3 linked regions of the Coturnix japonica genome follow. The protein of the gene in region 2 interacts with the protein of the main gene of each other region in a pairwise test. Links are inferred from orthologs where the notes say so. Each region holds a gene or a part of one and is shown on either strand. Other genes may lie near its edges.

Region 1 (4,006 bases), on a different chromosome or scaffold from region 2:
TTTGCTCTGAGACCAATACTTTCGCATCCTAATGTTTCAATCAGTTGCTTTTCAGGTGAGCGCATCTAACGTCTATTTTCTTAATTAAGATGAAACTAGGCCACTGGATCTATTACATAAAAATGTTCGTTAAGTGCAATTCCAGGCCTCTTGTAAATGTCTCTTACAATAAAAGACCGGTTCCTTCAGCCTCTCCGAGTAAATCACAGCAGGGCAGGGAGAAGAGATGCGGTGAGAAGTTGCCGGCACCGTGCACTGCCCAGGGGCTGCCGGGGAGCTCCGGTGCTCCTGATCTAGTAAATGTGTATGTTTGGTGGCCCTGCCAGGCAGGGGGTTGGAACTACATGATCCTTGAGGTCCCTTCCAACCCGGGTCATTCTGTGATGCTGTGATTGTGTGTGTGCTTCACGGTGCCGGCAGCTTCTCACCGCCGAGATGCGAAGTGCTCCGGGCTGCGCTCCGTAGCAGCGTGGACGCACGTGGCTAACGCGGCACCTCCAGGGGGCAAAAAAAATCCCACGTTGCTTTTTGCCGTGGTAAGATATTGGGAAAACGATGGCTGCAGGCAGCGGATCAGCGCCTGAGCTCTGCTACTCTGCTCTGCGCCTGGCCGGAGTCCAACGAGCGGAGCTACCCCAGATATACACACGGTGTGCGCGGCTCTCAAGCAGCCCCTGGAGCCGCTCCAGGCCCGCGGCATTACGACTCAGCGCCACATTCGGTGCCTGCACGAAGCGACGCCTGCGCCCGTGTGCGGGCAACGAGGGGAAGGGCCGGCATGAGCTGCTCCGGGAGGGCAGGAGCCGCACTGCCCGCTCCAACACGGCAACACGCCGTACGGGGCGGAAAGTTTCGCTCTCTGCTGTATGTTAACGAGCACAAACGCAAAGTGGTATCAATCGGAATATCAGCAACGAGCCGCGTGGCGATGTTTATACGATATGCCCCCTCGGGTTTGTTCACCGAGGGCAAAGGAAGCCGGCTGCCCCTCAGCGCACAGCTCCTTGCTCACGTTCCCAGCGGTACCAACAATTCCCGGCCCTACGGAGCCGGGCTGGGTGCGAGGAGCAGCGGCAAAGTTTCCGTGCTCCCGCAGCGCCCTGACGGAGCCGCTGTGCGGTGCCTCCCCCCGTCCCTGTCCCCGCACCCCGCACGGAGGCGGCGGGGCTCACGGCGCGCACACCTGAGCGGCCGGGGCTGTCTGTTGCCATAGCAGCGCTCTCTCATCGTTCGGCGGAGCGGGGCCGGGCGGTCTCCGAAGGGCTGCGTGAAGGGCCCGGGCCCGCACCGCCGCGGAAGGGCTCGAAACCGAAATTAAAAGCCCTCATTGCGCCGCCGCACGCACGGACGGACGGACAAACAGCCCGCGGCGCCCGGCACCGAGCGGGATGTCCCCCCACACGGCTCGGCCCGGCGCTGCGCTCCGTGCGGTCAGCGGCGCCCAACCAGCCGCCGCTCCCCGCATTATATAACGGCTTCCGACTTGTTTGCTCCTCCGTCAGTGCCGCTCGGTAATTCCTCCTCTGCGCTCCCCGCTCCGTCGCGTTCTTATCGCTATTACAGCGGGCGCTGACGTTTCGCAGCGCGTTTAATTGAGACTTCGATACCCCCAGGAATCGCGCTCGCGGATCGCGGCGTCCGCGTCCCTACCGGGGTGGGGGTGGGGTAATAGCGAACGACACCGACCCGACCCCGAGCTCCGGCCGGGGTTAAAGTGGCGCTGCCCCGCGGCCCTCCCGCCCGCGCTCCCCCGGCGGCGGTACCGGGCGTTGTCCGCAGGCGGCCTGGGCCCCGACAGCAGCGGCGCGGGGCGGCCGCCGGCCACATCCCCGTCCCAGCGCCGCCTCCTCCGCCGCCCGCTCGCTTCATTCACCCTCAGCGGCCGCCCAGCCCCTACTACATGCGCCGTGCGGCCCGGCCGCGGCCCCCCCCCTCCTCTCTCCCACACACACACACACACACACACACACACGGAGGGGCCGTGTCACCACCCCGTCACGCACCGCACCGCCACACACACACACACACACACACACACATCTACACATACACACCCGGCTACAAACACACACCCCGAGGCCGCCGCTCGCAAAATGTCCACCCTGCCGGCGGGGTGAGGGAGAAGGAAGGAGGAGGAGGAGGAGCGGGAGGGCCGTGCGAGCCCCGGCCCCGGGCCCAGGCCGCTGCCCTCGGCCATGTCGCGGCCCCCGCCCGGGCCGGGCCCTGAGGCCGGGCCGCAGCGCTGCCCCCCCGCACACACATATACACACACACACACACATATACACACACACACATACACACATATACACGCACAGAGCCGCCCCCAGCCCCGTGTTTTTCCAGCCGGGAACCGCGGGCGGCTCCGCAGCCCAAACAAGGGGAGAAGCCGGGGGAGGAGGAGGAGGAGCGGGGGGGGTGGAGGGGCAGAAAGCAGAGGAGGAAGAAAAAGGCACTTACTGTAAAGTGTCAGTGGAGGTGGGGCTGGCGGGGGGGGTCGGACTGAGACTCGAGCACCGCCGTCCTCCCGGGGTGGGGGTCTGCGGGTGTGTATGTGTGTGTGTGTGTGTATATGTGTGCGTGTGTATGTGTGTGTAAGTGAGGGCTCCTTCCCCCGCGGGGACACGCTCCGGGCTGCTCCGGCGCTGTAGTAGAAATGATGTCTGCAGTACAGCGCTCGCTGCCGCTCCGCTCTCCAGTATGTAAATGTGTAATAGAAGCCAAATATGGAGCAGTTGGCTGCCTCTGCAACAGCTCAAGGATCCTACTTCACGCGAAAGGGGGGGGCGGGGGGGAGGAGGAGGAGGAGGAGGAGGCAAGGCAGCACTCTGGCGGGCGGCCAAGAGAGCCACACAGATTATTGCATACGCTCAGCACCGCCGGGGCCGCCGGCCTTAACCCTTTGGAGGCCGCCCGGGGCCGAGCCGCCCTCCTCCTCCTCCCCCCTTTTTACCCCCCCAGCCCGGCCGTTCCTCGCCCCGACGCCCGCTGTGCTGAGGGACGCACCGGCGGGCACCGGGAGGGACGCGCTGCCCAGCGGGGGGAGCAGAGCGGGGCCAGGATGCGGGAGCGGCGGCCTCGGCCGGGCTGTCGCTAAGGGAGGAAATAAACCCGAGCCAGGGACGGCTCGGAGGCAGCGCCGTGAGAGTCAGGGGAGGGTGATTTTATTTAAGATGCCATATTGCGTTTTGCCGTTCAAAGCGTCGTAGCGCAGGAGCCCGCATCCCACTCCCGTTTTCTGAATTAGTTTTATTTTTCCGGATCCTTGGCGTATGCTCGAGTTGCTTTGTAGAGAGTACCTTCCACTTCATTCAGACCAAAGAGGCTCTGACTCATTCCGTCGCCGCACTACGAGGCGGGCAGGGCTGCACCACGCATGTTTGGGTACTCGCTCCCGCTGCGCTCCTCGTACGCGCTCCGGCACAATCCTCGCTCGTCTCTCCCGGCTGCGCGCAGACCACTGCCCGCCTCTCCCCGAATAAATGAATGGGAGGAACACAGGCACGGGACGGCGTCTGCTCTGCTTGCTGGCAACCCGACTGCCGCGCAGGGAACCGCTCGCTCTGCTTTGGCATCAGGAAGGCACGCACGGCGCCGGGAAAGCCTCTCCCCATCCCAAAGTCACCACACGAAATGCTGCATAAACCCCCAAGGCTGGGTCTCAGCTCCAGAAGGGCTCCGAGAGCAGCACGTGCGCTCCCTGTGCCGTGGCTGCCCAGAGCGGGCTGTTGTTTGAGCCTCTTCCAATCCCCCCCCCCCAGCACAGCTGTGAGCTCCGAGCAGATGTCTGTAGTGCCGATGTGTCACGTGTGTGTCCACAGGTAGTACCGCTGTGTTTCAGCATTGGATCTAGCGTTAGTCTGGATGCAAAAGACCCTAGGGCTCTGTCAGTATGCAGATCAGCAAAGCAGTCCCTTCTATGAATGACTGTACTCGTCCTCTATATTTCCTAGAGAATGTGCTAACAACATGGTAATCTGCACAGCTCATGACTGAGAGTTGGTAC
Region 2 (4,164 bases):
GCTGTTACTTCTGATCGACTCTAAGCATACAGTGACAACGTGGAGAGGTGGTAAGCTGAACAAAATTTGGAGTAATGAAACCAGAAGAGTCTGGCAATGTGCTACCACTGTCAAACTCCAGCACAACACCTGATTTCCTAACTAGGACAACTGTGCTTTGCACAACTCTGGATGTTTCAAAACTCGCCTGAGGGCATCGCTGTTATTAAAGGTTCGGCCTAGTCAAATGTTTAGGACAAATGCACAGGAACAAACCACTTGGCTTCCACAGGGCACCTCCCTCTGCAAGGAACATGTACTTGTGCAGTACCCAGACCACGTGCCTCCCTACCTTCCCCGTGGTCTGTCCGTAAAGCCCGAAGATCTCCCGCAGTTTCTCCTCACTGATGGCCTCGGGTCTGTCGATTTTGTTGCCCAAGATAAGGATTGGCACATTGGATATTGTTTCATCTGTCATTAGCGCCTGCGTGCAAGACAGCTTTAAGTTACACAGAGGCAGCACAAGCATCTGTCATCTGAGGAAAGCTTCGTTTTGGTAAGCTCTGGGACCCACAAGGGTTAATCCCTGGTGCTACAGCGCTCCCATGGGAGGGTTCTTCCCAGAAGGGGCTTTGCAGGACCCTTCCTTAAAGTGTGCTCAGGAGCCTACAGTCACCCCACAGCATCTAGGCTGCCTCAAGTCCCATCCCACCAAATAAGAACATTATTTATAATGTGGCCAGTCAAAGGTGTCAGGGAAAGGAAAAAAAAAAAACCAACAAAACCAAGAAGTTTACATTAAGCTCAACTTTGGATTCCATAAGCCGGGAGTGATCTGCACAGTCCACCAGGAAGACGATCCCATTGATGGCGGGCAGGTAGTTCTTCCACACCCGGCGGGCTGCAAGGCAAGAGACCAACAGCTCCTGTGAGAACAGCAGGGTGCTGTGCCCACAGCGGAGCCCCACTGCTTCCTGGGGCTGCTGGTGACAGCCCGCCGTGCTGCTCATGCTCTCTGCACTTTCACAAGTGATCAGATCACTGCTGTGTGACAGACGCTTGTCAGCAGGCAGCCAACACGTGTGCACAGCGAGTGTGTCTACGCAATACTGATGGGTGCTGTTCCTGTTGCAACAACAGCCCCTGACTGTCAGCCTGCTCGTGGGCATTCAGAAAAATACACAGAAACACTTTTCTTAGGACTTCAAGAAAGGAAATCTAAAGACAGAAATTCAGAGATTATTCAGAAGAATAAGGCTGTGACGTACGAACCTTCCACAGCTAAAACTATTTCAAGCAGCAGAGTGTGAGCTGGCAGCTTTTTTTGTTTTTCCAAGCTGCCAGAATAAAGCACAATTATTTAGCCACTGAAACAACCAGTTTCCTAGAGCCAGGCCACTTCCACTAATAGTTCCATGTGTGGTAACTGTTGAGTCACGGCCTGAACCACTGATTGAGCACCTGGGGAAAGGTCCCGTCAGCCCTGGGAGCACAGGTGAAGGCAATCCAGCTGCATGGACATAAGGGGTGGAGCCTGGCTGCACCTCTCAGTCCTCTTTTAAAGGCTGGATGCTGCTGGGGAAGGATCTCTTTCTGAAGATCCCTCCTTTGTGGAGTTTTCCCCTGTGAGCCTGGATCTTCAGAGACAGGTGAGCAGTCCTTTTTCCTTCCTTTATAACACCTTTCTATTGTGTTAGTCCCTCTATCATTATACCTGTTGTGTTACCTTTCCACTGTGTTGATCTTCCTGATTGTTACACTCCACAACCACTATCAAGCTACAAGCAGTTGGATATGGCCAATTCCCATCACTCTCCAGCATCTCTTTTGGGGAGCTCTTTCTAATCTTTCCAGAGGTGGCCGGGGAACACAACTGAAATCAGTAAGCTGGCACGTACCTTGAGCATGTCCACCCAGATCAAAAGTAGTGAAAGTCATGCCAGCAATTGTCAGCTCTTCTGAGGCTGGAAAGCAAGAACACAAGAAAAGAAAGCAATTACTACAGCTAATGGTTCTTGGGGGTGTGCACCAGCATCACAAGGCCCTTGTGTAGGATATTTGTTCCTTCCTTGTCTATTACTTAGGGGTGCTCTTATTAATGTGTGTTTATGTCATATTGCACAGCCAGGAGTTGGGCTCAATGATCCCTATGGGTCTGTTCCAAGTTGGGATGTTGTGAACCCTCTCCCTCCCCAGGAGCAGTGTGTGCTATCCACTAACCCACACCCCTTCTTGGCCTCTATATCTGAAGCCAAGCTACCAGTTCCCCTGGGCGCAGTGCAGACATACTGGGGTGCAGCGTGGGGACGTGCTGGCCCAGCCGGTCGTCCTTGAGCATGTGCAGCAGTGTGGTTTTGCCCGCATTATCCAGGCCCAGGAACACAAGTTTGCCAGACTTCTTGTAGAGCCCTGCAGGGAACAAACAGCCGCGTGTCCCCGATGGAGCCGGCTGACACCGGGACGGTCACACAGCAACCAGAGGGACGGGAAAACATGAAGCCTAATGCACGAGGGGCCTCACCCAGGAACTGCAGCACGCTGCTGAACCCGTTGTAGATCCACTCGAAGATGAACGACATCGCTGAGGATGGAGCGCCTGCGGGCACAGCCGGGATCAGTCACGTATCCCCCCGTTCCCCCGCTGTCCCCCCGCTCTATCCCTATCCCCGCCCTATTCCCGGCCCGGTTCCCGGTTCCCACCTCCGGCCGCACGGACCCCGCTCCCGTTGTGCCGCCAGCTCCCGCCGGAACTGCGTCGCTCCTGCGCCCCGCCCGCTTCCGCCCCGCCGCGCTGGCTCCACGTCGGCTCCGCGCCGTGACGTCAAGCGGAGCCCGCCCACACCGCGACATGACCGCGGGTTCGAATCCCGCTCAAGTCCCTGCTGAAGTTCCAACCATCCACCGCCGGGCAGAGCGAGATCCGCCTCATTGCAAAGGAAGGAGCACAGCACGCAGAGCTCAGTAGTTTTATTTTAACATCCAGCACTGGGTGAACCTCTGCACCCGCACGGCTTTATGTGCAGATGGTTACAGACACACCAGGACACCGCGCACAAGCAGCAGCTTTTGATTTAAAGTTCTATCTTCTACCTCCACCAGAGCCAATGTACCAGGTCATGGTTAGATGGTGCTAATTGGTGTCAGTCATAGGTGCCTTGTCACCAGTGCTGTTCTTCTGGGCTACTCCTGCATGTGGTGACTCTGGGATGCAAAGGGAGCAGCTCCTCAGCACACAGCCTCAGCCTTCAGTTCTTCTGGTAATAGAACCACCTGTCAACTGCACGGGGCGGAACAAAGCAGGGTTAGTCCTGTATGGACACTGCAAGAACTGCCATGGTTCAGTCTGGAGCACAGCAGGTTCAAAGGAAAGACCTCATCCCTCGCTGCAAGGAGGTGGTGGTGAAGCAATCTGAGATGGGTCATTAAAGCTGGAAAAGCCCTCTCAAGTGTGGGCTGGCCCAAAAGCTGCCTTCCATGGTGCTATATGCATCACCTCCAGCTCAGCACTTTGCACAAGCTCCTACCAGTTGCATCACATGCCCTACATGCAGTGATGCCCTGAGGATGCTGGCTGTACTCAGCAAGCCATGAGAAGCAACCACATGGCCCTGCCAAGGGGCTGGCAGCACTGCTTCCCTCGCACCCATCTGACTCAGCTGGCCCCAGGAGTTGTCCCACAGTCGTCACTTTCCTATGCAGCTTTGTGCTGCACAACAGACCAGGTCCTGACATGCAGAAAACCTACTAGCTTGCAGCTGCCACTTGCTTAGTGACAAAGCCTCTGTCAGCAGCAGCTGAAGCACTGCACTCATGGCCATTTTCTGCCCCTCTTCATGGAGATGAAGTGCTTTCCTTCCTCACTTCACCTGGACTGATGACACTGATGAAACCCCACATGGGAGGAAGTAGTGAAAATGCTGCTGCTACCAATTCACTTCAGGCCTCTGAGGCATCCTTCTTCCAGCACTAAGGGACTGCTACAGATCAAACTTCCTCCACAGTGAAGTGGCATCCCAGATCCCCTGCTCATATCCCAGCCTCACGTACCATAGTAAGGAAGTAAGGCCCCAGTACAAGTGATGTGGCAACTGAACAGCATTACTGAGACAAGACAGGTTTGACAAGGCCTGTAGCTGCCAGTCTTGATCCTCCTTTACCTACTGACAGTTCCCCTGAGGAAGTCCT
Region 3 (4,144 bases), on a different chromosome or scaffold from region 2:
AGATGGGGCAGGGAAAGACCCTCCTGGATGCGTGTTCAAGTTACCTCTGCTGACCAGTGCCTGTCCCCAGGAGCTCACAGCTCCTCCAAGGACCATGGGGTCCCCTCACTTACCAGTGCCAGTATAGACAAAGAGAGCGATCACCATGGCTGCTGTCACCACTGCTCCCCACGTCTTCACCTCTGGCTGCTTCATGCTGTTAAAGACGGGCACGCTGCTAACATGGCACTGCCAGAGACACAAAGAGAGTGAGGGGACACGATATGGGACGAGTCAGAGCAGCGGGGAGATGCACAAGATCCCGTGTGCTGCACGAAGCTACCTGGAATCCAAAGCAGATGGTGGGCATGGCGTTGAACACGGCCATCCAGGTGGAGGGGCTGGGGAGAGAAACGGCCACTGGTCAGAGCGGGGGCACATCCAAACTGTGTGGTCCTCTGCTGATCTGCCCCCAGCTCAGCCACCAGTTCCTCCCACCCGGGACAGAGCTTTTGCATGGATAAAGGTTTTCCTTTGGGCAGTGCCAAAAACTGATCTTAACTCTGCTCTGCCCTAAAATTCCCTGACCACAGTGAGTCCAGAAAGTCCCACACGGGGAAGGAAAAGAAGCCACACCAGCAAAGGAAAGAACCAAAAATCACCCAAAGGAGACCCCGACCTCTCCTTGCTGGGGTTTGATGCAGCTGTAGCAGAGCTAGAAGGGAATTGTTCTCCTCAAATCCCGTGCTGGAGCACTGGAGATCCAGATGAGACCATCAGCATTACGTCTCTTGCACACACACCTGGTAGGGATCTCCACGGGCACGAGCTCCTTGTCAGGCCAGATGTACTTGATGATGATGACTGCGGTGACATACCACGTGCCAATCACACTCAGAGAGCTGCAGGAGGGGACAGCAAGCTGTCAGCATCCAGCTCTGAGGATGTCTGAGGGTATCTCCACCTGCCATCCCAACCCCTCCAACCAGGATGATCCCTGCTCTTCTCCTCCCCCAAGGAAGACACCAGGTACCGTTACCCCTCTCCTCAGCCCACCCCCCCAGGCCTGCAGGGCTCTCGTACCCACCTGGCGTATTTCTGGAAGCCAATCTCTTTGGGGATGGAGAGGGGGAGGATGAGGAGGAAGGCGGTGATGCTGATGGTGAACTTGCGGTCCGTGTACCAGCGGCTGCTCCCTGCTTCCTCAGGCTCCGTCACCAGAGCAGCAATGACTGTGGGCAGAGATAGCTCAGAGAATCACAGAATCATTTAGGTTGGAAAAGACCACTAAGGTCCAACCCCAATCCATTCCAGCCCCAACCATGTTGGTCAGCGCCGCATCTACCCGAAGGGTCACACCCTTGGGGCACTCACTCTTGTCCTCTTGGTCTCCGATGATGATGAGGAAAGCAATGCAGGTGCCAAAGGTATAAACGGCGATGGCCACCTCGCACAGCACACCTGGCACCTTCCCACACACAGCCCACACCACCTCTTGGTAGGTGCGTTCATTGCTGGCCTGCGAGCAGTACGCCAGGATGACCAGCCCTCCGATGATGAAGATCAGCATGCACTGCGGGGAGGGAGAGATGGGAAGGGGACAAAGTGAGGCAGCAGCAAGCTAACGTCCCCAAAGCCACCCCAAAATGCAGACAGCATCACTACTGCCCCCCATGGGTCCTAACCTCTGCTTCACCCGGGGGGCTTCCACCCAACATCTCCTCCTCCCCACAGCCCTACAACCCCCCCAGTCTCTCCAGGCTTGGGACAAGGTCCGTCCCAGCCCATCTCTCACCATCTGCAGGGCAATGCCCGCAGCTACACCACCAGCCATGTTGAAGGCAGCCGGGAAGTTGAGCAGCCCGGCCCCGAGAGCAGCATTCACCACGATGAACACCGCGCCCAGCGCCGACGTGGCCCCGGCGCCGTTCCCTGGGCTCTCCTCGCTCTTCGGCACCGCTTCCACGCTGGGGCTCTGCAGGAGCCGGGCCCGTTCCCCGGCATCGTCGCTCCACTCCCAGTCCCTGTAGTCGGTGTTGATGCTCCCAGCGGCCTGAGCCATCCTCCCGCCGGCAGCGCCCGCTCCTCCCGCCGTGCGTCCCACTAGCGCTGCTGCACCGGGCTCAGCCGAGTGCCGCGGGGCAGCGTTGGCTCCATTGGGTTTGGCGACAGCAAACAGCCAGGCGCTGCTGTGCGACTCCTACAAAGGGCTGCAGGAGAACGCGAGGATCCTCCGGTACCGCTACGGCCCCCGATAGAGAGAGCCGGTGGGGAACGGCACACGGGTACTGCGGGAAGCGGAGCTCACCTCGGCCTGGCCGGCCGCACGGGGACGCGCATCGCTGCGGGCACGAGCCCCGCCGGGCTTCCTCAATCCCGGCCCCAATTCCTGCAAGCTCTGCACAAGCTGCCGCGCACGGGCTGCGGGGGAAAGGTCAGGGCCGGGCTCAGCGAGACCCGCAGCGACCACGGCAGCGCACGGCCGGGCACACAGCGCTGCGGGAACATGCGCCGGGCAGCCGCCCCGACCCACGCACCGCCACGCAGCACGGACGGAGCCACCCGCACGGCCCAGGGGAAGCTCCGGGCCTCCCGCCCGGGCCGCGCTCCGCCTTCGGGCTGTTTAACCCGGCGGCACGGCACGCAGCCCCCACGCACAGGTTACACCCCGAGGGTACCCCCAGCCCCCCCGGCCCAGGGACCCCCCGCTCACCCGGGCGGGGCACTGTCTCTGCGGTCCGGAGCCGGCTCCCACCGCCGTGCCCACGCGTGTCCCTCCCCCCGCCGGGGTCGCACCGCCCCGCCCCGCTCACCGCAACCGCGCCGGCGCCGCCCGCCCCCCGCCACGCCTCCCTGAGCGGCTCCGGTTGGATCGGAGCTCGGAGCGGAGCCATGAGGGCAGCGAGCGCCGCAGCCCGTGCGTGGGTCTGGGCAGCCCGAGCTGCGGGCAGCCAGCACGAGGAGAGGATGGTTTTTGCACGGCCAACGCTCAGACCGCCCTTGGGAGCCTTCCGTCCTGCATTTACCATCAGCAGCCCTTGGGATGGAGCGGATGAGGCAGATGTCACAGCATCCCCGGGTCAGGCTGGACACAGCCCAGCTCATCTGGGCTCACAGGGCTGATGTGACGGGGCTGCAGGGGGTGGGGAGACACACAGAGCCACAGAGAGCAGGTTTCAGAGGAAGTTCGTATTGAAGGACAAGAAATTGACCTCGGAGCATGGGAGCAGAGGTTGGGAGCAGTGACAGGAGCCTGCCACACACACACACACACACCAATGCCACTGTGAATGACACCTGACAGAGTCCCAGATGGAAACCAAGCCCACAGTGGAGCACACTGTAGTAGTGACAAGTCCTCAGAGCCTTTACGCTCCCTGTTGGATGGCAGCTGCAGCACTGCCCAGCGCTGGGCTAAGCCCGAGTCCAGCAGCAGAGGGTGGAGGAGGACAGAGCCTGCAGGCAGCAGGGACGGGCTGAGCCCGGCTCACCAGGTGAACCCAAACGTGCCCCCCCAGCCCACCCTGCTCCCTGCCTGCTGCTGTCAGTGAGCAGCCTGGTACAGCCCTCTTGTGGAGAGACAAGCACAGGGATGCCTTTGGTGTGTCCGCCGGTAGGATGCAGAGCAGTAACCTCTAACTCCCTCCAGTGCAGATGGGTGTTGGGGCTGATGGACAAAGGACAAGCAGCAGGAGAGAATGGCTATGGCGACAGGGAGCCAGCAATTATGTCCTTGCTCCACAACGCGGTGCAATTTGAACTAGAGGCTTCTATGACAACTCATCTACAAGATACATTCAGCAGCGGCATTAAGTGCTGTGGTTGGAAGCGTTTTCCTTCCTTCCTTCCTTCCTTCCCCTTCTTTGAGCCGTGGGGAAGGCCAGCAGCTCCAGAGCACGCCTCTGTCTTTACTTTGTGACTTGATGGATGGCGTGAGCCAGGTAGCCTACATTGCTCGATGCAACTCCTGCCACGGAGATTCGGCCATCCTTTGTCATATAGATGGAGAACTCCTTCGTCAGCCGCTCCACCTGGGATGAAAGAGCAGAGACCAAATTGAAGCCCTCTATTCTATTGCTGGAGTGCAGATTTACACAGCCTGCTAGAACCAAACACAAGCTGGGTGCCAGCAGACACGTCATCCAACCACCTGCAGAGCTCTGGG

Evidence for each region. The genes of interacting proteins can lie anywhere in the genome.
Region 1: the proteins of SAR1A (region 2) and ATXN1 interact in binary tests that used the Homo sapiens proteins (3 or more experiments, as listed by UniProt). The link is inferred for Coturnix japonica from reciprocal best matches to the Homo sapiens genes SAR1A and ATXN1.
Region 3: the proteins of SAR1A (region 2) and SLC38A7 interact in binary tests that used the Homo sapiens proteins (3 or more experiments, as listed by UniProt). The link is inferred for Coturnix japonica from reciprocal best matches to the Homo sapiens genes SAR1A and SLC38A7.

What each region holds. Positions count from the first base shown.
Region 1 is NC_029517.1:67,238,935-67,242,940, reverse strand, and holds the start of ATXN1 (ataxin-1), read right to left. Parts: upstream 2,801-4,006; 5' UTR 2,461-2,800; intron 1,931-2,460; exon of another isoform or gene 1,687-1,930; intron 1,656-1,686; exon of another isoform or gene 1,184-1,655; intron 1-1,183. UniProt on the Homo sapiens protein: Chromatin-binding factor that repress Notch signaling in the absence of Notch intracellular domain by acting as a CBF1 corepressor. Binds to the HEY promoter and might assist, along with NCOR2, RBPJ-mediated repression. Binds RNA in vitro.
Region 2 is NC_029521.1:9,530,767-9,534,930, reverse strand, and holds the start of SAR1A (GTP-binding protein SAR1a), read right to left. Parts: upstream 2,801-4,164; 5' UTR 2,680-2,800; intron 2,576-2,679; 5' UTR 2,559-2,575; coding exon 2,501-2,558; intron 2,389-2,500; coding exon 2,269-2,388; intron 1,944-2,268; coding exon 1,878-1,943; intron 881-1,877; coding exon 777-880; intron 464-776; coding exon 332-463; intron 1-331. Other genes in the region: PPA1 (inorganic pyrophosphatase), read right to left, coding at 3,225-3,256. UniProt on the Homo sapiens protein: Small GTPase that cycles between an active GTP-bound and an inactive GDP-bound state and mainly functions in vesicle-mediated endoplasmic reticulum (ER) to Golgi transport.
Region 3 is NC_029526.1:1,143,885-1,148,028, reverse strand, and holds the start of SLC38A7 (putative sodium-coupled neutral amino acid transporter 7), read right to left. Parts: upstream 2,801-4,144; 5' UTR 2,693-2,800; intron 2,401-2,692; 5' UTR 2,288-2,400; intron 2,190-2,287; 5' UTR 2,042-2,189; coding exon 1,775-2,041; intron 1,553-1,774; coding exon 1,354-1,552; intron 1,212-1,353; coding exon 1,067-1,211; intron 882-1,066; coding exon 783-881; intron 381-782; coding exon 323-380; intron 229-322; coding exon 114-228; intron 1-113. Other genes in the region: GOT2 (aspartate aminotransferase, mitochondrial), read right to left, coding at 3,888-4,010. UniProt on the Homo sapiens protein: Symporter that selectively cotransports sodium ions and amino acids, such as L-glutamine and L-asparagine from the lysosome into the cytoplasm and may participates in mTORC1 activation. The transport activity requires an acidic lysosomal lumen.